5 linked regions of the Rattus norvegicus genome follow. The protein of the gene in region 1 binds, or shares a complex with, the protein of each later gene. Links are inferred from orthologs where the notes say so. Each region holds a gene or a part of one and is shown in the gene's direction. Other genes may lie near its edges. The genes, in order: Stx5, Stx18, Vti1b, Bnip1 and Bet1l.

Region 1 (3,989 bases):
GCCAAGGGTGAGGTCCTTCAGAACACAAGGGCATTGGTTTTTTGGTACCTAGAGGAATTATTTTTCAGCCAGTCTGTTTCCCTGTCCCTGATTCCTGAATGTCCTTCTTGATCATCAGGATGAGCCCCAAGAACCTCAAGAGCCCAACCTAGTGCCCCCAGAAGACACAGAGACAGATGAACTTTGGGCGTCTTTGGAGGCAGCTGCCAAGCGAAAGCTCCCTGATTTGGACCAGAAACAAGGTGCTCTCCAAAGAAGGAAGAAAAAGAAGCGTCCTGGATCCACCAGTCCTTGAAGCCCCTTGCTCACTTTGTTAATAAACAGCCCAACACATACTGAGATCCTGGACCTTTTGTGATGGGAAAAAGGAGAGCTTGTAGGTGGGAGGGGTTCCCTCACCTGGCCGCGGGAGACCTGACGTCATAAAAGCTAGGCCCAGAGCTAAGCTGGCTGGGGAGGGTGGAGGAGTGCTGCGCCTTTCGGGGCCATGGGCTGCTGTCAGGACAAGGACCATCCGGATGAGCAAGGACGGGAAGAAGTAACAGAGGAAGGCAGGGAAGGTAGGACTAGACACAAAAAAGGTCTCAAGACCGGGAATGGGAGTGGGAGGTGCCCCAAAGGGACTGCCCAGAGGAGGGAGCAGAACTGAATTAAGTGGATCCTGTGGTCCTTGTAGGCAACGAAGGGGACAACCTAGGCCGCCGTAAACAAAGATCTAACGAAAGTCTTCTGATCACCGTGCTGTGGCGCAGGCTATCCATGTTCAGCCGTCGGGGGTCTTCACGGTCAGGCAAGCAAGACAATCAGATGCAGGAGCGCAAACGTGAGGGCAGCCACAAGGAACCAGAAAAGGGCTGACTACAACCCTGGTCTCAGTCCTCCCCAACATCCAGAGAATAAAGTTAATATTGCGAATCTGCTGAAAACACTTTTCTTTTTTTTTTTTTTTTTCGGAGCTGGGGACCGAACCCACTGAGCTAAATCCCCAACCCCCCAGCCTCAGAGTCTTTAAGGCTCCTGTAGCCCAGCCCCTCGAGATCTGTTCTGCTCTTTAGGGGCGGGGCCGCAGCGGCAGTCTAACCAATAAGAGAGCGGAGTCGAGTTTGCATGAGCAGGGGTGTGTTCCTTCTGTCACTGGGCTAAAAAAGAGGCGTGGCGCAGTAGCCACGTCACGGGGTTAGGGGTACGTGTAGGTGACGTGGCGGCTCCAGTTCTTTGGTCCGGCTTCCACTGCTTACAAGTCCGGCGAGGAGGCGGCAACGACCTGAGGAGAGTAGCGGTGGCGGTAGGCAACAGAAGAGGTAGGGTTTCGCTCCAGTAGGAGTCCAGCCTCGGTCGGTCGGCTCAGTTCGGGGCAGCAGCTTGACTGGGGGGGAAGGGAGCCAGGGGCAAGTCCTGCTGGCGGCTCCGCGAAGCGAATATCCCGGTGTCCAATCAGGAAAGGTCTTGTTGAGAAAAACTTCGGCCCTGTCCAATCAGTGGCTGTAGTCTTCCAACAGGCGGAACTTTGACGGAGGTGGGACTTCCTGTTTCAAATAAACACTTAAGAGGTTTTTTTCCCCCCCTCCGCCCTCTGGAGTGTGCCCACCTCTGGAGGTCCGTTGCCGTTTTCTATGAAAGGGTGAAGGAAATCACGTATACCAGAAGGCACGATTAAGACCTGGGCCAACTGCAAAGGTCTGGCTGGAAGTTCAGGGCCGCAGGACCAGGCTGTGGCTGTTTTCTCGACTTTAGGGCTCCCGGCCGGTGTTCTTGTAGTCATCCAAGTTGGAAGGAGAATCTGAGGAGGCTTCGCCTTGGGCCTGGAGGAAGCTGACCATTCTCGCCGTGTCCCGGGTGCAGGATCTGCGGGTGGCCTTGGGCTCGAAAGTCTGTCAAATACGGGAAAGGGACTGAGGATTTGCTAGTTGAGGGTAAAGTTTGGGGAAACAGGCCGTTTGGAGAATGACATTCTCCTCTCCACAACAGTCCGAGGTTATGCGACTCGATGATCCCGCGGAAACGCTACGGATCTAAGAACACGGATCAGGGTGTCTACCTGGGTCTCTCAAAGACACAGGTTCTGTCCCCTGCAACTGCTATCAATAGCAGCAGTGACATCGCTCCTTTGCCCACCCCGGTGGCCCTGGTCCCCTCCCCTCCCGACACTATGTCCTGCCGGGATCGGACCCAGGAGTTCCTGTCTGCCTGCAAGTCGCTGCAGAGCCGTCAGGTAAGGACCTGGAGTGGAAAGACCGGCGTGAGCCCATTTAGTTAATGCTTAGGTTTTGTTTGCTAGTTGTCTAAACTTGCTTAACAATTCTTAAGTAGTCGAATCTTACCAATAGGAGAGGAAGAATTGTCTTCAGGAGAAATTGAGAATACTTTAAGTAACTTGTCCTAAATACCACAAACCTAATCCTAATGTAGGATTCAAGCCTGCATCTAATTGTTTTCTTAGCTACAAACCACTGATAAATTTAGATTGTCTGACACCAGCAGCACTAGAGTGTTTAGTGGTTTATGTGAGGGAGCAGTGAAAAGCTGAGCATAAATAGCGAAGGGAATTAGAGTAGCAACTTTTTGATACTCCTTTTCAGAATGGAATCCAAACAAATAAACCAGCTCTGCACGCTACCCGGCAGTGCAGCGAGTTTACCCTCATGGCCAGGTGAGTTAAGAGGGGCTTTGTGGTGGGGTGACACAGTGTTTTAAGAAGTAGATCTGCCTGGGATTGGCTGAATGGAATTGGTCCACAACTTTCTCACTGATGATCATTTGCAGGCGCATTGGGAAAGATCTCAGCAATACATTTGCCAAGCTGGAGAAGCTAACAATCCGTGAGTGTTTGGGAGGCCTTTCCTAGGTGGGACGGTGAAACATAGTACTAGGAGGTGAGGCTCATGGAGGTTTTGTTTTATTTTTTCCTACGGTGCTGGGGATTTCTACCTTAAGGCAAGTGTCTCTATTACGGAACTGCTATCCTAGCTCTGTGAGCCTTGCTATTACCCTCACATGTTGTAATGTTTCATCCGTCTCTGCAGTGGCAAAGCGCAAGTCCCTCTTTGATGATAAAGCAGTAGAAATTGAGGAACTAACATACATCATCAAACAGGTGAGCCGCTAGCCATCAGGAGAGCCCAGCATTCTAATTAGATTACTTCCATCATTTTCCATCGCCATGAATCCCCAGGGTAAGTATCTAGACCCGTGTCCAAACACCCTGCTCCTCCATTGAGTCAGTAGACACTTAGGATCGTCTAGTGTTTATAAAGCACTGTTCTAGATGCTGGTGAGAGAACTGTGAAGCAAGATGATTGTCTTCAAAGGCTCGTTTTCCTTGCGAGTTACCTGGCATCAAAAGCCTTGGCTTAAAATGAGTAGGTGTTAGCATAGAAAAGGTTTACAAAGTGATGAATGAAGCAGGATTCTGGGACGGTTGACCAAGTATGTGAAATCTGAGCTGGGAGGTAGGTTGGGGAGGCTATATGCAGCAGTTCAACCAGGTGGTGCCTATGTCTTTAGTCTCAGCCCTCAGGAAGCAGAGGCAGGCAGACCTCTGTAGTGAGGAGAATGTTTTTGTTGTATTCACAGGTGTAGGTCTGTGGGGCTGCTTCGAACTTGGCCAGCTGCAGATAGTCTATGATTGTGTGATGTTTGGAATTCTGGGAATTGTTCACAGGGTATATAAATGCTAGAAGCCCCCTCACCCCCAAGAGGTAGGGTTGGTGGTTATTTCAAGGGGAGTTAGTAGTCATGCTCAAAGAAGAACTAAGAAAGAAACTAGATTCACCGACCTCTATCTCTTTTCTCTTCCCCTTCTTTCTCTCCTATTTAGTTGATAGGGGAGCACAGAGTGTGTATATGTTGTGGGGTGGGTGAGGAAGAGTGGGAAAAGGAGGTCCACAAAGTAGCAAAGGCACGATACAGATCTCTGAGTTTGAGGCCAACCTGGTCTACATAGTGAAGTTCCAGGACAGGGTTGCAGAGAAATTTTCCCAAACAAACAA
Region 2 (4,314 bases), on another chromosome or scaffold:
AAGTCTGGCTTAATGGAAAACAGCTGCCCTGCATTTAGCCTATTGTTAGATCAGTGTCTCTGGGAAACCCAGCCACACAGCTGATCAGAACACACAGATGTAAAGGCCAATATGAGCCTGGAATTATTACAAAACTCGCTTTTCATCTCCATGACAGCTAAAAACCCAATTTTAGCACACATCATAGTGTGCTTCCTTTTATAAGGAAAACAAAATCCAGAAAAGTTGATACTGAAATAAGACTAAACCATGGGGGTCACACTCCTGGACAAGAAAACTCCAGGCAACTATGGCTGCTGAGAGAGGAAGAGTTAGCCTATCCCTCTAATTGGTTGTCCAATACGAAATGATAATCCCTGAAATCATACACACATAAACAGTTTCAGCAGATTGTGCTTGCATAGCCATGGATACTTACATATATATGCAACAATTACAATTAAGGAAGAAGAGGCTATAAATTTGAGACTGAGTTGGGAGACATGGAAGAAATCAGAGGGAGAGGATTGGAGGCTGGAGAGAGAAAAGGGAAGGAGAGAAAGTGGCATAATTGTATTTTTAATTAAAGGTGTACACAAAATAAAATAAACCATGAACAAAGCGTCCAGAAAAATTTTATTAGCTGACTTTAGTCAAGTTAAGTAACTCTCTTCTTTTCAATTTCCTCCTTTCTCTATAATAACTATGACTCAAGAGAGCGCTTTTCAAAACTACTTATTTAGGAGGAACATAACACAGTTATCATCAAGCTCAGTATGCTTCACTTTTCTCTGGCTCTCATAACTTCCTGCTCTCCATATCCCCCCGCTCAGGGATCTCTGCTCTAAGCCTCTTCTACACCATAAGTAAAAAAGACTGAGGACAATAATATTATCATCAACTGCAGCATTTACGGGCTGCGTAGTAAGAGTTAAACAACATGAGAATGCGCATTCTGTTTAATTTTCTGTGCATTCTAGGAAGGTGCTAGCTTCACTTTACCGAACTGGCTGAAGGTTTAAGAAGAGAGCCCTCTGGACTCTACCTCTATACACTTACCCTTTCCTAGTACAAGCACCCAGACGGTCATAGTTCATTGCTTCTTAAGTGGATCCCTAGACGACATAGGTCAAAGGTGTTAACACTCCCCACCTGTCAACCAAACCTCACGCCTGTCTTCTAAAGAATCATACGTGAGCGATCTTTCTAGTTTCCTGATGCTTCCGTTCCTGAAGCCCAGTTTTAGAAACCCTGTGAAACTTCCAAGCGTCTGACCCCGCTGAAGTTTGCAGTGAGGAGAAAGAGGTGCTGATGCACTGCGGGTAGCTGTCTGGAACGGAGATTCCCTGCGCTGGGCCGAGGCCGGAACCTTTCTCTACTCGACGCAGTACACGGGCTGAGAGCGGAACCTTCCTTTTCTGCTCACAGTTCCCAGGCGGAAGCGAAATCGGAACGTCCCTCAGCGACCGAGCTCTTGCTGGGGTCGCTTGCTGCTGACGTGTGCCGACCGGCTTCGGGCCGCGGCGCGGGTCGCTATGGCGGTGGACATCACACTGCTCTTCAGGGCTAGCGTCAAGACAGTGAAGACGCGGAATAAGGCTCTTGGAGTGGCCGTGGGTGGTGGAGCCGATGGCAGCCGAGACGAGCTGTTCCGCAGAAGCCCTCGGCCCAAGGGAGACTTCTCCAGCCGGGCCCGTGAAGTGGTAAGCTGGTTGCTATGGGAACGACTGGTGGGAGTCAGGGGCGGATCTGCAACCGCGGACCCTGCACCCCTAACTGGGCCCTGCCTCGTTAGCTCTTGGTGAAGTGAGGGAGTCTCTAGCAAGACAGAAGAGTCGGTCTCACGAAGCCAACAGCTGGCTCGGGGTGGCGACAGGTTTATTCTCACGAAGAGGGACGCATATCTGGGCACTGAAGGAAGCAAGTTTTGAAGAGGCTCTTGGATGTCCTTGAACTCAGGCTAACTTTTAGAGGCAGTGAGTTCGCCGTGGCTGCTGATTTGAGTGCCTTGGAAGAGTTCCCACAGTCTTACGCTTCCTGTATTAAAACTCACCACTCTCTCCGCTTGCCCTTTCATGTGTGTGTTTGGACCTCCTCTTGTGCATAGGGTTTAATAAAAATCTACGCTCAGCAGAACTCTCCTTTGTCCTTGCCTCCAGGAATAGGTAGAACTCAGTACCTCCAGAAACTGGTTTAGGATATCACCAGTGTAGGGTAAAAGCTTTTTCCTTCAGAACTGCAACACTTAAGCAACACCTAGTGTTGTAACTGTCCTCTAAACTGCTTTCTGTTCTCTGGACACAACCGGCTTTTGTGTCCCCCAACATAGGAACCTTCTCCATAAGGGTAGGAACATGTTGACATTATTTCTATATGTGTGACTGAAAACATTGCTTAGTAAATATTCCTTGGATGGATGGATGGATGGATGGATGGATGGATAAACAAATGAATAGATATTGTTTCCACTAAACAGGGAAAAGGAGATTGTTTGCAAAAGGAGATTGTTTGCAAAAGGAGATTGTTTGCATTATATCCCTTTGTATCTTTGACACTAAGGGTAAATGTTATTTTTGTTGCACCAGGAGGCATATACAGTCTGTTCTTTTAAAGACACACACACACACACACACACACACACACACACACACACACACACAGAGTGGTCCAAAGCATTGAAAGGTACAAGTCAAGGGAACCTAAACTTTAAGTATAATTAGTTTTCCAGTAAGCTCACCTCTGCTTGGCACATAATCCATTGCTTGATACTTCTCTTTTTGAGACAGGGTCTTTCCATGTAGACCAGGCTAGCCTTGAACTCACAGAAAGGTGACTGTTTCTGTCTCCCAAGTGCTGAGATTAAAGGCATGGGCCCCATACCAGATGACACTTGAATATTGTTTTATATATATATATATATATGCACAAGTTAATGAATGACTGTTTAATACTCAAGGTATGGAAGGTATGGACCAGATAAATGATGCCCCTCCCTCCAACAATAAGCATCTACTTAGAACTGAACTTGTGACCATCATTGTTTTAGAGTAACAGGATTCTATTCTTGAGTTACAAAGTTTCAGTGCTAGAGAGATACAAATATAAACAAACCCCCTGCCTTGATTCCTGCGGGTATTCTGTAGGGCACAAGGGAAACAGTAGTTAGTTCCGCTTGGGAGAAAGGCTTCATGGGACAATGATATCAAATATCCATTCTAAAATAAGAGTAGTTGGTTTCATTACAGATAAGGTCAGGAAGGGCATCACAACTAAGTTAACAACAGCATACTGGCCATACTCCTGGATGCCCTCACACCCAGGAATACAGGGACAGTGCAATTAGGCTTGATGGGCTTTTAAAGAAAAAAGTCTGGGGGGGGGCATGAAGTTAGGGGAGGTAAAGAGGTGGGAGTGGATTTGAGAGGAGTTAGAGGGGAATGGTGGTAAATATCAGAACACATACGGAATTCCCAATGAATTAAGAAAATACTTTTTTTTTTTTTAAAAAAAGAAACCAACGTGCACAAAGGCATGAGATAGTACCAGCTTAACTTAAGTTGGGTTTGATTAACGTAAGAATGTGAGACACTCAGAAAAAAAGAGTGGTATGGTACCCAGAGGGAAATCTAGAAGGACCTTGTAGATCACTCTTCAGAATTTGAACTTTGCCTTCTAGACCAGTGGTTCTCAATTTTCCAAATACTGTGACCCTTTAATACAGGTCCTCATGTTGTAGTGACCATGCCCCCAACGATCATAAGATTATTTTCATTGAGACTGCATAGATATAATTTTGCTACTACTATGAATTATAATGTAAATATCTAATATTCAGGATATTTAAATGTGACCCCTGTGACAGGATCATTCAACCCCACAAAAGGGGTCACAACACACAGGCTAAGAACCACTGCTCTAGACAGTCCAATATTATGTAGACAGTAAAACCCTGAAGAAGACCCAGGAGACCACATTGTTGTCTTAACCATGTTAGCTATTAGCCAGATTCATGCTATTAAGCAAGGTTTATTTACCTATAAAATGGTTCATCTTTATCCAAAACAGACTTTAAACATCCATTGGGTCTATCATATATGTCATATATAAAATGTCTTATCATACCATGTATTATGTTGAAAGAGGCATGACTCAGGTTGAAGTAAGAGGACAGGAAAATAAGGTGTCATCATAGCTCTCTTCTGAGTCTGGCCAAACTGTTACCACAGTGTGTGGACGTCACAGTTTTGGTGTGTGGAGGCTCTTCCCTGGGTGGTTTATTAATGCTGCACAGATTTTCAGTCCTTAGGAATAGGGGATTTCGGAACAGTTGATTTA
Region 3 (3,867 bases), on another chromosome or scaffold:
GATCCCCTGAACCTGGAGTTCCAGATGGTTGTGAGCCAGTGTGTGGGTGCTGGGAATTAAACCCAGGGTCTCTGGAAGACAACCAGGACTAATCACTGAGCCATTGCTCCAGCCCTCCTTTATTACATTATTTATTTTGTATGTGCATATATATATATATATATATATATATATATATATATATATATATGCATAAGCACATGTGTTGAAGTCAAAGGACCACATGCAGGAGTCCCCATAACTGAACTCAGGTCTTCAGACTTGGTACTGAGCCTTCTCATCAGCACCATTTTTGCTGGACTGAACCTCTCTATATGAACCAGGCTGGCCTCATAGCTAGAGCTGTCCTCCCACATCTGCCTCCTAGGTGTTAAGATTACAGACGAGGACCACATGCATGGGTTTATTTGACCCTTGGTGGTTTCTTTATTTACTGGTCTGTATAAACATTCTAAGAATCTAATTTAAGAAAAAAATTTTTTGAGAGTATATAGTTCTTGAACTCCCTAGTGTAGCTCAGGCTAGCCTTGAACTCACAAAAATCCTTTTGCCTCTGCCTCTCTGTGGGTGCTGGGATTAAACTTGTGCACCACCATCCCGGCCCAAGAGGCTAATTTATTTATTTTTTATTTATTTATTTATTTTTGGATGCAGGATTTCTCTATGTAGCCCTGACTATCCTGGAGCTCAGATCTGCCTGTCTCTGCCTCCTCAGTGCTTGGCTTCAGAATCTGATTGCTGATGAGATCTTCTGCCATTTGCCACCTGCTCTGTAGTAAATTCTGAGCTGAACCCCTGTCCATCACTACTCATTCTGGCCTGACCTGGGCCGATTTTGTTGTCATGCTGTGTTTAGAGAGAGAAAATTTCAGTGAAGAGTAAGAGTTCTTGGGAAGCTAGGGAAGCTCGAGTGAGGTCCAGACTCTCCCTTCCCTGTGAACAATCACCAGCATGGTGATAACTTGAGAGTGCTGTTGGGCATGAGCCACTCATGGCCATGGAAGTTTTTTTAAGAATGCACCAATGTCTCTAGTTCTTAATGACTTCTGAGCTGAGAAAGAATACGTTATTTATGGTCTCTACATCAGCACCAGCCAAGTGGGAACTTGAGTGAATTAGTTAGTTTCTAGTGTTTTGGAAGCTCGTTGTTTACTTGTGGCACTGTTGAAGTGTAAGGCAAGCCAGGCATGATGGCACACATTTACAGTCCCAGCACGTGGACATTGAGCCAGGACAGTCATGATGAGTTTGAATTCAACTTCAGTTACAGTGAGGCCGCCTTAAAAAACAAAAATGAATAAATGCTTAAGCAGAGAGTTTTAAAGTTACAAGCTAATTGCATTATTAGGTCATTTTTGCACACACTACTACCTTCTCACTCAGTCTGGATGCTGACTGAAGTTGCTAATAGCCAGTTACATGTTAATGGATTTTAACTGGTTCACAGGGGAAATGCTCCAATTCTTTTTCATTATTTTTTCAGAAGTCTTAAGGGAAGTGGAATCTGCCTGCTTTAATCCTGACCTTGAACAGGATCTTATTTTTCATTAGAATTTTTGATTCAATTTTAAAAGCACTCTTCAGTCAGCTTTGGATTGAAAATGTTTTGTTTTTTTTTTTTAATATTACATCTATCCAGGCATGGTAGCACCTAGCTTTTCATCCTAGCACGTGGAAGGCAGAGACAGATGGATCTCTGGGAGTTGAAGCCAGGCTGGTGTACATAGTAAGTTCTAGGTTAGCCAGAACTACACTGTAGGACCCTGTCTCAAAAAATTCCAATTCTGAAGGATCCGATACCCTCTTCTGGTACCCATAAAGCTTTACAAATGTTTTTATTTGCTGAACATCTTTTGATGTTCTTGCCATGATTCTCTTGAACAATAAATATACATAATATTTACCTTTTCTCAGGTATCAGTAATCTAATGATGATTTAATGTATTAGGAGGATATGTACATGTTATATGCAGACTACTATTTTACACATAGGACCTCAGCAGGAGTGCCCTAGAATCAGTGCCCTGCAGACAGAAAGGAAAAGCTAGGGAAATGATGGTTTACTGTATCCTTGTACATAAGAAGAAAGCCACAAGGAATAACTGACAATAAATTTATAACAGAAGTAGCTAACATTTTTCTTCCTTACTGCTATCAGAATCGGCTGCAGTCTCAAAGAGCATTACTTCTGCAAGGCACTGAAAGCCTGAACCGAGCCACCCAAAGCATTGAGCGTTCTCATCGGATTGCCGCAGAAACTGACCAAATTGGTTCAGAAATCATAGAAGAGTTGGGGGAGCAACGAGACCAGTTGGAACGTACCAAGAGTAGAGTAAGTCTGGGCAATGTGTAAAGTAGGGGGGTCCTCATACCCAGATACCACACTAAGGCCAGACACTACACCAGTTCTGACTTCTGGGAATAACAGCCCGCCTCCCCTTTTCACAAGTTTTAAATTCCTCAGCTGAAAGATTCCGCATTAGAAGTACTTGTACAGAGCTAAGGGAGATGGGTCTGTCAATAAAGATCAATACAGATGCTCATGGGTTTGGAACCCCAGAGTTTGGGGGTGAGGATTAGAAATAGTTGGATCTTTGGAATTTGTTGGCCAGCCAGTATTTTAAGAAATCCTTTCTTAATATGGTGGTGTAACTGGTCTTTTGCTATTTTGTGAGTTTTTCTTCTACCCTTTTCCACCCTTTCAACCCCCTAACACTAGATAGGAAAGAAAAAAGAAAAGAAAGGGGGTGATGTTATAGTTAGGCTACTTCCTGCTGATTAGGGGGATTGAGTTTCTTGTGGCAAGTTTGATCTTCATCAAGATATCTAATTTCTTCTCATCTCTTTGTGCATAACTTCTTGAGAAATCATGACCAGCAACCACCAACCAACAAAAGCCAACCCATCCTGCTTCTGGGGACTCTGAAAAGTCCCCAGAATTCCAAATATCTCACAATCACAGACTATCACACCCCTGCACAAAGCAATCAAAGTCAGCTGCTGTGAACAACCTGAAGTATCCCTATATCCCATACCTGGGACTAAAACAAAAGCATATTCCTATATTTCTGTGGGGTGTTTTTAAGATTTATTTTTATTTTATGTGCATTGCTGTTTTGACTACATATATTATAAGTCTGTGTTAGGGTATCAGATCCCCTGGAACTGGAATTATAGACCTTTTTAATGCCCATGTTCAAATTATATAAGTTTTTTTGAAAGGAAGAAGAAATGATCTGTTATTTTCTTTTTCAGCTGGTAAACACAAATGAAAACTTAAGCAAAAGCCGAAAGATTCTTCGCTCTATGTCCAGAAAGTAAGTTTCAAGAAACCCACAAATTCTTTTTTTTTTTCTTGGAGCTGAGGACCGAACCCAGGGCCTTGCACTTGCTAGGCAAGCGCTCTACCACTGAGCTAAATCCCCAACCCCCACAAATTCTTGATATTCAATATATTTCAACTAAGAAATATAGAGAGCTTAGACCAGTAACTTAACAAACACCCTGATAAATTACCTTAGTGCTACCCAAGCACTCCTCTAGGCATTCACCAACCGAAGGAGAAGATATTCTCTATTATATTATAGTTTATATAGTTAAATATCTGAGGATGAGGTCTTTGTTAAATTCATAGATTGTTCCAACATAAAGTAGTGGAAAACCTGTCTACTGACCAATGTCAATCCCAGTTTCTGTCTCTTAGAAGAGACCTAAGGAACTAAGAAGAGCTCTCTGCTCCCTGGAACATGTTTGTAAACACCTGACCTGTGAGCATGGATAGTACTTAGTTCTTGCCTTGCATGGCAGGCCCTTTTGGGACGTCCTGTCTTGTTAGCAAGAAGTATTTAAAAATAACAAAAACAAGAG
Region 4 (2,759 bases), on another chromosome or scaffold:
TTGAAGGAGTTTTCTGGGAGTGAACAGACATTTCCGAATCTTTGTGTACCTACTGCAAGTTGCTTTACAGACAGCAATGTGGTTTTCGTTCCCTAATGGGGCTCGAGAACGTGGGTTCAGTTTAGCCACACTGACTGATGTTTTAGAAATGTGCAAACCAGTTGGTAGTGGTGCAAACATTTAATCCCAGCACTTGGGAGGCAGAGACAAATTGATCTTTATGAGTTTGAGGCCAGCCTGGTCTACACAGAGAAACCATGTTTCAAAAAAACAAGAGAAGGAAGGAAGGAAGGACGGAAAGAAGGAAGGAAGGAAGGAAATAAACGTGTGCTTGCTGGCTGTGTTACAACACACCTGTCATCCGAGCACTTGGGGTTGACTGAGGTGAGGACATTCTGCCTTCTAGACTAGCCTGAGCTACACTTTGAGGTCCCATCTCAAGGCACAAACAGAAAAGCACTGATGTGATAGGTTAAAAATGGGGCATTTTGCAAGCTAGGCTTTTGTTGCTATTGCTCCTTCCTCTGGACTTGCAGGAAAACTACCAAAGAAAGTTTGGCCCAGACATCCAGCACCATCACAGAGAGTCTCATGGGGATCAGCAGGATGATGTCACAGCAGGTGCAGCAGAGTGAGGAGGCTATGCAGACTCTAGGTAAGGAGGAGGACGCTATTCCAGAGCACACACCCTGGCACCGCTGCAGTTCTCCGGCTCTCCCCACCCGAAGCTTCCCAAGTTGTCCTAGGAAATGGTGAGACATCCTGTGAGGGAGGCGTTATGTTCCTCTTCCTCCAGTTGTGCAGCTGTGCTAGACACGCTGCGCGCCATCAGTGCCTCCCAGAGGAAGCGTTGCTAGGCTCCTGTGAAAGCAGAACTGGCTGGCCTCTCTGGAGATGGTGTCAGCAGTGCTTGCAAGGGGTCCGGGAGTCTGGTTTGCAGCGTGGGCTCATGGGTCTAGTATTGCCAGGCACGTTTGGGAATTAGGGTCCTGGAAAGACCACTCCTGTGAGTTCCTTTCACATGGACCAGCCGGTGGCCAGGGAGAGGCTGTTGGACAGCACTGCATTCCTGCCAAGTGCCTTCTTGCCATGGCTCCTTGCAGAGACTGCCCCTCCAGGGCCTTTCAGTGTAGGAAACAGGAAGGAGGTGCTGTTCATGAGACTTCACATGTCAACCAAAGTAGACAACGAGGTTTGGTAACTTCTTGCTCTCACGGCTGTCACTCAGTCACCTTGTTTCATGTTTACCCTTAGTTCATCCCCTATCCCAGACATCATCCCGGAAAAAAGCTCAGCGCATCTAAAAGCTAATAGTAAGGGCGCTGGAGGGATGGCTCAATGCTTAAAAGCAGAAAGTGCTCCTGAAGAAAGCCCAAATTCAGTACCCAGCACCCATGTGTATAACTCTGTGGGCATCTGCACCCACGTGCATACACCCACACAGATACACACATAGTTAACGAGAATAAGAATGAAACACACACACACACACACACACACACACACACACACACACACACACACACACACACACACACACACAGAGCTCAGGCACTGGCCTTGCTGACAGCCAGCCAGCAGCTTCAGGTCTTTATTACCTGGGAGGTACAGTCTGATTCAGGCTCCTTCCTCTCCTGTTGTAGTCAGCTCTTCACGGACTCTCCTGGATGCAAACGAAGAGTTTAAGTCCATGTCAGGAACCATTCAGTTGGGCCGGAAGCTCATCACAAAATACAACCGCCGGGAACTAACGGACAAGCTTCTCATCTTCCTCGCCCTGGCCCTGTTCCTTGCCACGGTCCTCTATATTGTGAAAAAGCGCCTCTTCCCATTTTTGTAAGGGAGAGCTGCCGGCTTTGGCCCGTGCATTCCAGCGTCAGGACCCGGGGCTCTCAAGGACTGGCCGGGCTGCCAAACTGGCCTTCCCATCTGCCTCGGGTGCTCAGTGAATCAAGAGAGGGAAACACAGCAGCCCAGTTTCCTGCCAGGGGGCTTGGAAAGGGTGAGTAGAATAGAGGAGACCGGAACCTTCTGGACCAGGGCGCTCCACACTCACCCAGCTTCCAAGCACTGCGGCTGCCACATAGAACACGTCAACTCCCGGACTTACTGCACCTTTCGCCATGTCCAGAGGCATGAATGGTGAATGCTGGGTGTGGTGGAGGGAGGAGTGGTGAGGCCCGTGGGAGGGGAGGTGACGACAGCCCATGGCTGTTCCCTGAATAAACCTCATTTATTTAATAGAGTGATTACTGCTTAGTATTAGAAGCTATCTCTCTGGGATTGTGTACGCCTCCTCGTGTCCTGACCCCTCGGACATGAAGTTAGATTCCTCATTCACCAAGGAGGCACTGCAGCCAAGGGAGGGCTCAGAGGTTAAGAGCACTTGCTGCTCTTTCAAAAGCCAGGGTTCTGTTCCCAGCACCCACATGGTGGCTCACACCCACCTCTAACTCCAGCTCCAGGGGACCTGATGCCCTCTGTGGGCCCCAGGCAGGCACACGGTACATTCCTATATGTAAAGTAACTCTCGTGTGCATGCCGTGTTTAATTTGCTGAGGGCGACTGAGATGGCTCAGTTGTTAGAGGTTCTTGCCCATAAATCTGAGTCCCCTCTGTCCCAGCAGGGGAAGGAGAGAACCAGCGCCAGGAAGTTGTGCAGCTGTGGCGTGTGCTGCGTCCCTGCATACACACAAATAGAAAAAAGTTAAAGAAGCACAGAGCAGCTGCCACAGGCTAATTCTGAGACATCACCAGAC
Region 5 (4,047 bases), about 9.7 Mb from region 1:
CAGCTGCTGGCGCACATCAGTGCGAAGGGCTGTTAGCAGGAAAAGGAGCCTTAAGTCAAAGAACTGGACTTCGTGGGGATAGCTCCTTTTGCGGTACAGTCCCACACGTTCCGCTAGCCTCACCACCAGTCGAGCCTCTGCTGCTAGCATCTGTGCTGTAGGACTGCTGAGCACAAGATTACACAGGCATTTGAGAGACTCGAGGAGGACATCCATGTCTGGGGGCTGTGGGATGGGCTCCTCTGAGATGGCAATGTCGGCATAGCAGGCTAGTGCGTGTAAACTCTGGCGGCTAGCAAATGAGTCCAGGCAGCTGCGGTCTCGGGATAGGATTCGGATAGTCTGCAGCCAGGTGACACGGTGTTTTGGTGACAAGCCCTGCTCCAGTACGGAGACCAGCAGCTTTGCGAGTCTCTGTGGGAAGGGACAAAAATGGTTCCACTAGGCCCTCTTCTTGGGGCAGCCCGTGCTTGCCCTAGGAACCCCCTTGGGCTGACACCTACCTTCCTGTCCTCCTGCTGTGCATCATCGAAGGTGAAGCTCTGGGAATGCTGCAGGGAGACCCAGGAAGCTCAGTTCCACACGCAGGTAGGACCTGTGCTCCTCGAGAAGCAGCAGGTCTGCTTCTACCTCTGAAGCAGCAGCCATCGCTGTGTACGTAAAGCAAGGCCCACCCTCGCCACCCATACACCTGACTACCACAGAGGCACCGCCGTGGCCCAGCCCACCACCCACCGCCCTGCTCCCTGCCACACTCGCACGCACACCCCAGCCGAGTGGCGAGCAACCGGCTGCTTCCTCACTTCCTGCAATTTCCTCGGCAGCTGGATGCCTCTCACCTCTCGGTTAAACGACCGCAGAGCTTCTGTCACCGCATCTTCCTCTCCCGTCTCCAAGGCATCCGCAACTGCCCGGGGCTCCATGGCCCCTGGCACGGGGTGCTAGAAGACTTGGGCTGGGAAGACGCAATCGGCCAAACCCGGGGACTCCGCCCAGGTCCGGAAGCCCAGCGTCCACGCGTGAGGAATGCTGGGAGAACAGCCGAGCCTAGGGTGTGTACAGGCGCGGGGCTGGCCTCCGGCTTAAGGTGGAGCAACCCGGCTGTGGCCGCTGAGCGGCTTGTCTTGGAGCAGCGATGCTAGCTAACTAAGCAGTATCCTCCTTTTGAGCCCTTCTCTCTAGCCCGACTTCCTGGCGGGCGGGGGTGGGGAGTGGGGTGTGGCTTGGCCGGCGCGTAAACCTTTCTCCTTACACTCTTGTTCCCGTACTGTGATAAAAGAGGGAGCGCCGGCTCCTGGCCGCTTAGTCAGTTGGGGAAGACGATTCTCGCGGTCATCTTCCTGATGCTCATCTTCCACGGGAAATAAGGAAAGAGAAGTACGACTTGGATGGTCAAAATAATGTACGTGGTTAGCCGGGCATAGTAACGCACGCTTTTTTAAATTTCAGCACTCGAGAGGCAGAAACGGGCAGACCTATCTAAAAACAATCAAAAAACCAAACCACCAAAATAATGTGGTTATCAAAAGAAAAGGGCAATTGCAGAGTGTATGAGGAAGGATCGGAGAGAAGGAAGTGAAGAACACCGGTGGAAAAGCGACTCCCGCGGGAGGAGCAACGGAGGGGCGGCTAGCCGCGGCGTGTCTGGGGTTAGAAGCGTAGGAACGTTGTATAGTGGGGAGCCAGGTCTGCATGCCACTTAGCTTAAGGCAGAGTCGGTGCACCCCACGGTGACACAAGCAATGTTCCAGAGGATAATGCCGCCCGCTGTGCTAACCGGCGCTTGCCTCTACTCAGTGTCAGGTCCTTTGCCAGTCTCTTTCGCTTCTGCTCGTCCTCCCCATCCTGTCGTTCTCACTTGGGGACTTTGCAGCGCCCGAGGTACCCGACCCTCGGCTCCAGGTTGGGGTCTGAGCTCCTGCTCCGGGTAATACCCACAGCGCGGGACTAATACTGCTGACCAATCCGTAGGCCCGAATGCTGGCGGCCCGCCCTTCCCTTATTTACATTCCAGTGTAGAACTACAAGTCTGTTTCTTCCGCTTCAGACTCTTCTCCCGGAAGTTATTAGACCTGAGGCGGAACCGGAAGACCCAGGTAGTGGTGCCACGTCCGTCGCTGTGTTGCCTACTCCCCGAGTGGGACCTCGGAAGGCGCGATGGCAGATTGGACTCGAGGTGAGCGCACCTGAAGGTAGTTGGGATAGGAGGCAAGGTCTAAGTCTGGAGTACGAGCCATCAATTTTTCCTCGGTGGAGGGATCTGCGTGGGATGGCGCTTACGTATTCCAGGAAAAACAGGGCCAGATTTCAACTGGCACTGCCTTGGAACCCAAGCCGGCATGACATCAGTTTGTGTGTATGGTTGATGCCAAGGGCTGGAAGCAGAAGGTCCAAGCAGGGACTTACAGGGCTCAAGTGCCTCGTTTCACACACACCCTCCGCCCCCGTGCCTGTGTTCAGTCTGACAGTTGTGATACTGAGGCTTCTACTATACTAACTATGTAGTGGTTGGTAGGACACAGCCGTCTGTCTTTTAGAGTCTGGTCGCCCCTGTTTGCTGGTGCTGCTGGCTTTCCCCTTAGGTGGGTCATATCGAGGCTGGATTTTTATGCTTCAGACCAGTGCCAGTCACACTTAGGCAGGTGATTCTCAACTACATACCGTGACAGAAATTCTTCATGTCTAGTCTCTGTCCGTCGGAGTAAGGTTTCCACAGGAGAGTGCTCTGGGGCTTCTAGAGATCCTGTGTGGGTTGTAGCAGTAGGGATTGGTAGTTTCTACAGTAAAAGGCCTTTCTTACACTTACCTTGGACTTGATTCCTAAGTCATCCCCACACAGCCTTCCTGTCACCTGCTTTGTTGTTCTGTTCTGTTTTCCCTATAATCCCTACCAGATTGAGACCTGTCCCATACTCTCAGATGGTGATTTCAGCTAAGGCAATATTCATTTTGGTCCAGGAACAGTATACAACAGGGTAGTGTAGATTGACCTGCTGGTTCCCTGTCTCTGCCTGGGCATTGCACACAAGTACTCCCATGACCCATGCTTCCTGTCTGGTGTGTAGGTGGTCTACCTGTTGGAACATAGGGTGGAACATGCTAAGTGAGCAGAAGGATATGGGTGGAATGCCCTTAGAGGTCTCACCAGGCCAGGCTCCACTGGAGCAAGGAGCCAAGGACCACATTTATGAGTGAATTCTACCCTTCAGCCTCTTTGTCTTGCAGCTCAGAGTTCTGGTGCTGTGGAGGAGATTCTAGACAGAGAGAACAAGCGGATGGCTGACAGCCTGGCCTCTAAGGTCACCAGGCTTAAATCGGTTAGTGGTGGCCCTTTTCCCTTCCATGAGACACTTTGGTGAGTGGGGCTGAGTGGGTAGAAAGGAAGCCATGCTGTCCGTGGGTGTGCTGACTGAGGAATGCTTCAGGTAATACCTTGGCCTTTTTAGCTTTTTCTAGTAATAGGTACCTAGCAGAATCTGAAGGGAAGATGGGCACTGCACTCTGTGTCCTTGCTTGACTGTGCCTTCTGTATCCCAACCAGCTGGCTTTGGACATCGACAGGGACACGGAAGACCAGAACCGATACCTAGATGGCATGGTAAGTGCCTGTATTACGTACAAATCATAGTCAGCTCTACCCCCATGCCGCCTGCTCTTCTGCCTCTAACCCTTCAGCGCTAGTACAGTTGGGCCGTCACAGATCCCAGCTCTATGTGATCCCGTTGGGTCTCTCCCGCAGGACTCAGATTTCACAAGTGTGACTGGCCTACTCACAGGGAGTGTGAAGCGCTTTTCCACGGTGGCACGGTCTGGGCGAGACAACCGGAAGCTTCTGTGTGGTATGGCTGTGGTCTTAATTGTGGCCTTCTTCATCCTCTCCTACCTCTTGTCGAGGACAAGGACGTGAGCCAGTGGGAGCCAAGGGCAGCCAGACTCTTGTCCACCTGGTATCCTGGCTTCCTAAGGACCTGACTACAGAAACAATATTCCTTTGAAATTATCATCACGGGTCATTCGTCTTCCTAAGTCAGGACGACTGCGGCTGCC

The links.
Region 2: Stx5 (region 1) and Stx18 share a complex: the UniProt entries of both Homo sapiens proteins name them as parts of the SNARE complex. The link is inferred for Rattus norvegicus from reciprocal best matches to the Homo sapiens genes STX5 and STX18.
Region 3: Stx5 (region 1) and Vti1b share a complex: the UniProt entries of both Homo sapiens proteins name them as parts of the SNARE complex. The link is inferred for Rattus norvegicus from reciprocal best matches to the Homo sapiens genes STX5 and VTI1B.
Region 4: Stx5 (region 1) and Bnip1 share a complex: the UniProt entries of both Homo sapiens proteins name them as parts of the SNARE complex. The link is inferred for Rattus norvegicus from reciprocal best matches to the Homo sapiens genes STX5 and BNIP1.
Region 5: Stx5 (region 1) and Bet1l share a complex: the UniProt entries of both Homo sapiens proteins name them as parts of the SNARE complex. The link is inferred for Rattus norvegicus from reciprocal best matches to the Homo sapiens genes STX5 and BET1L.

The regions. Positions count from the first base shown.
Region 1 is NC_086019.1:215,065,349-215,069,337, forward strand, and holds the start of Stx5 (syntaxin-5), read left to right. Parts: upstream 1-1,183; 5' UTR 1,184-1,301; intron 1,302-1,424; exon of another isoform or gene 1,425-1,968; 5' UTR 1,969-1,987; coding exon 1,988-2,212; intron 2,213-2,579; coding exon 2,580-2,650; intron 2,651-2,763; coding exon 2,764-2,819; intron 2,820-3,023; coding exon 3,024-3,094; intron 3,095-3,989. Other genes in the region: Wdr74 (WD repeat-containing protein 74), read left to right, coding at 119-295; Tex54 (testis-expressed protein 54), read left to right, coding at 488-560, 677-858. UniProt on the Homo sapiens protein: Mediates endoplasmic reticulum to Golgi transport.
Region 2 is NC_086032.1:76,970,913-76,975,226, reverse strand, and holds the start of Stx18 (syntaxin-18), read left to right. Parts: upstream 1-1,500; 5' UTR 1,501-1,514; coding exon 1,515-1,682; intron 1,683-4,314. UniProt on the Homo sapiens protein: Syntaxin that may be involved in targeting and fusion of Golgi-derived retrograde transport vesicles with the ER.
Region 3 is NC_086024.1:103,695,624-103,699,490, reverse strand, and holds the end of Vti1b (vesicle transport through interaction with t-SNAREs homolog 1B), read left to right. Parts: intron 1-2,158; coding exon 2,159-2,332; intron 2,333-3,255; coding exon 3,256-3,321; 3' UTR 3,322-3,356; downstream 3,357-3,867. UniProt on the Homo sapiens protein: V-SNARE that mediates vesicle transport pathways through interactions with t-SNAREs on the target membrane. These interactions are proposed to mediate aspects of the specificity of vesicle trafficking and to promote fusion of the lipid bilayers.
Region 4 is NC_086028.1:16,890,806-16,893,564, reverse strand, and holds the end of Bnip1 (vesicle transport protein SEC20), read left to right. Parts: intron 1-536; coding exon 537-655; intron 656-1,643; coding exon 1,644-1,840; 3' UTR 1,841-2,248; downstream 2,249-2,759. UniProt on the Homo sapiens protein: As part of a SNARE complex may be involved in endoplasmic reticulum membranes fusion and be required for the maintenance of endoplasmic reticulum organization. Also plays a role in apoptosis.
Region 5 is NC_086019.1:205,361,903-205,365,949, reverse strand, and holds the start of Bet1l (BET1-like protein), read left to right. Parts: upstream 1-1,243; 5' UTR 1,244-1,402; intron 1,403-2,047; 5' UTR 2,048-2,157; coding exon 2,158-2,176; intron 2,177-3,225; coding exon 3,226-3,317; intron 3,318-3,541; coding exon 3,542-3,598; intron 3,599-3,739; coding exon 3,740-3,907; 3' UTR 3,908-4,047. Other genes in the region: Ric8a (synembryn-A), read right to left, coding at 1-414, 504-551, 840-923. UniProt on the Homo sapiens protein: Vesicle SNARE required for targeting and fusion of retrograde transport vesicles with the Golgi complex. Required for the integrity of the Golgi complex.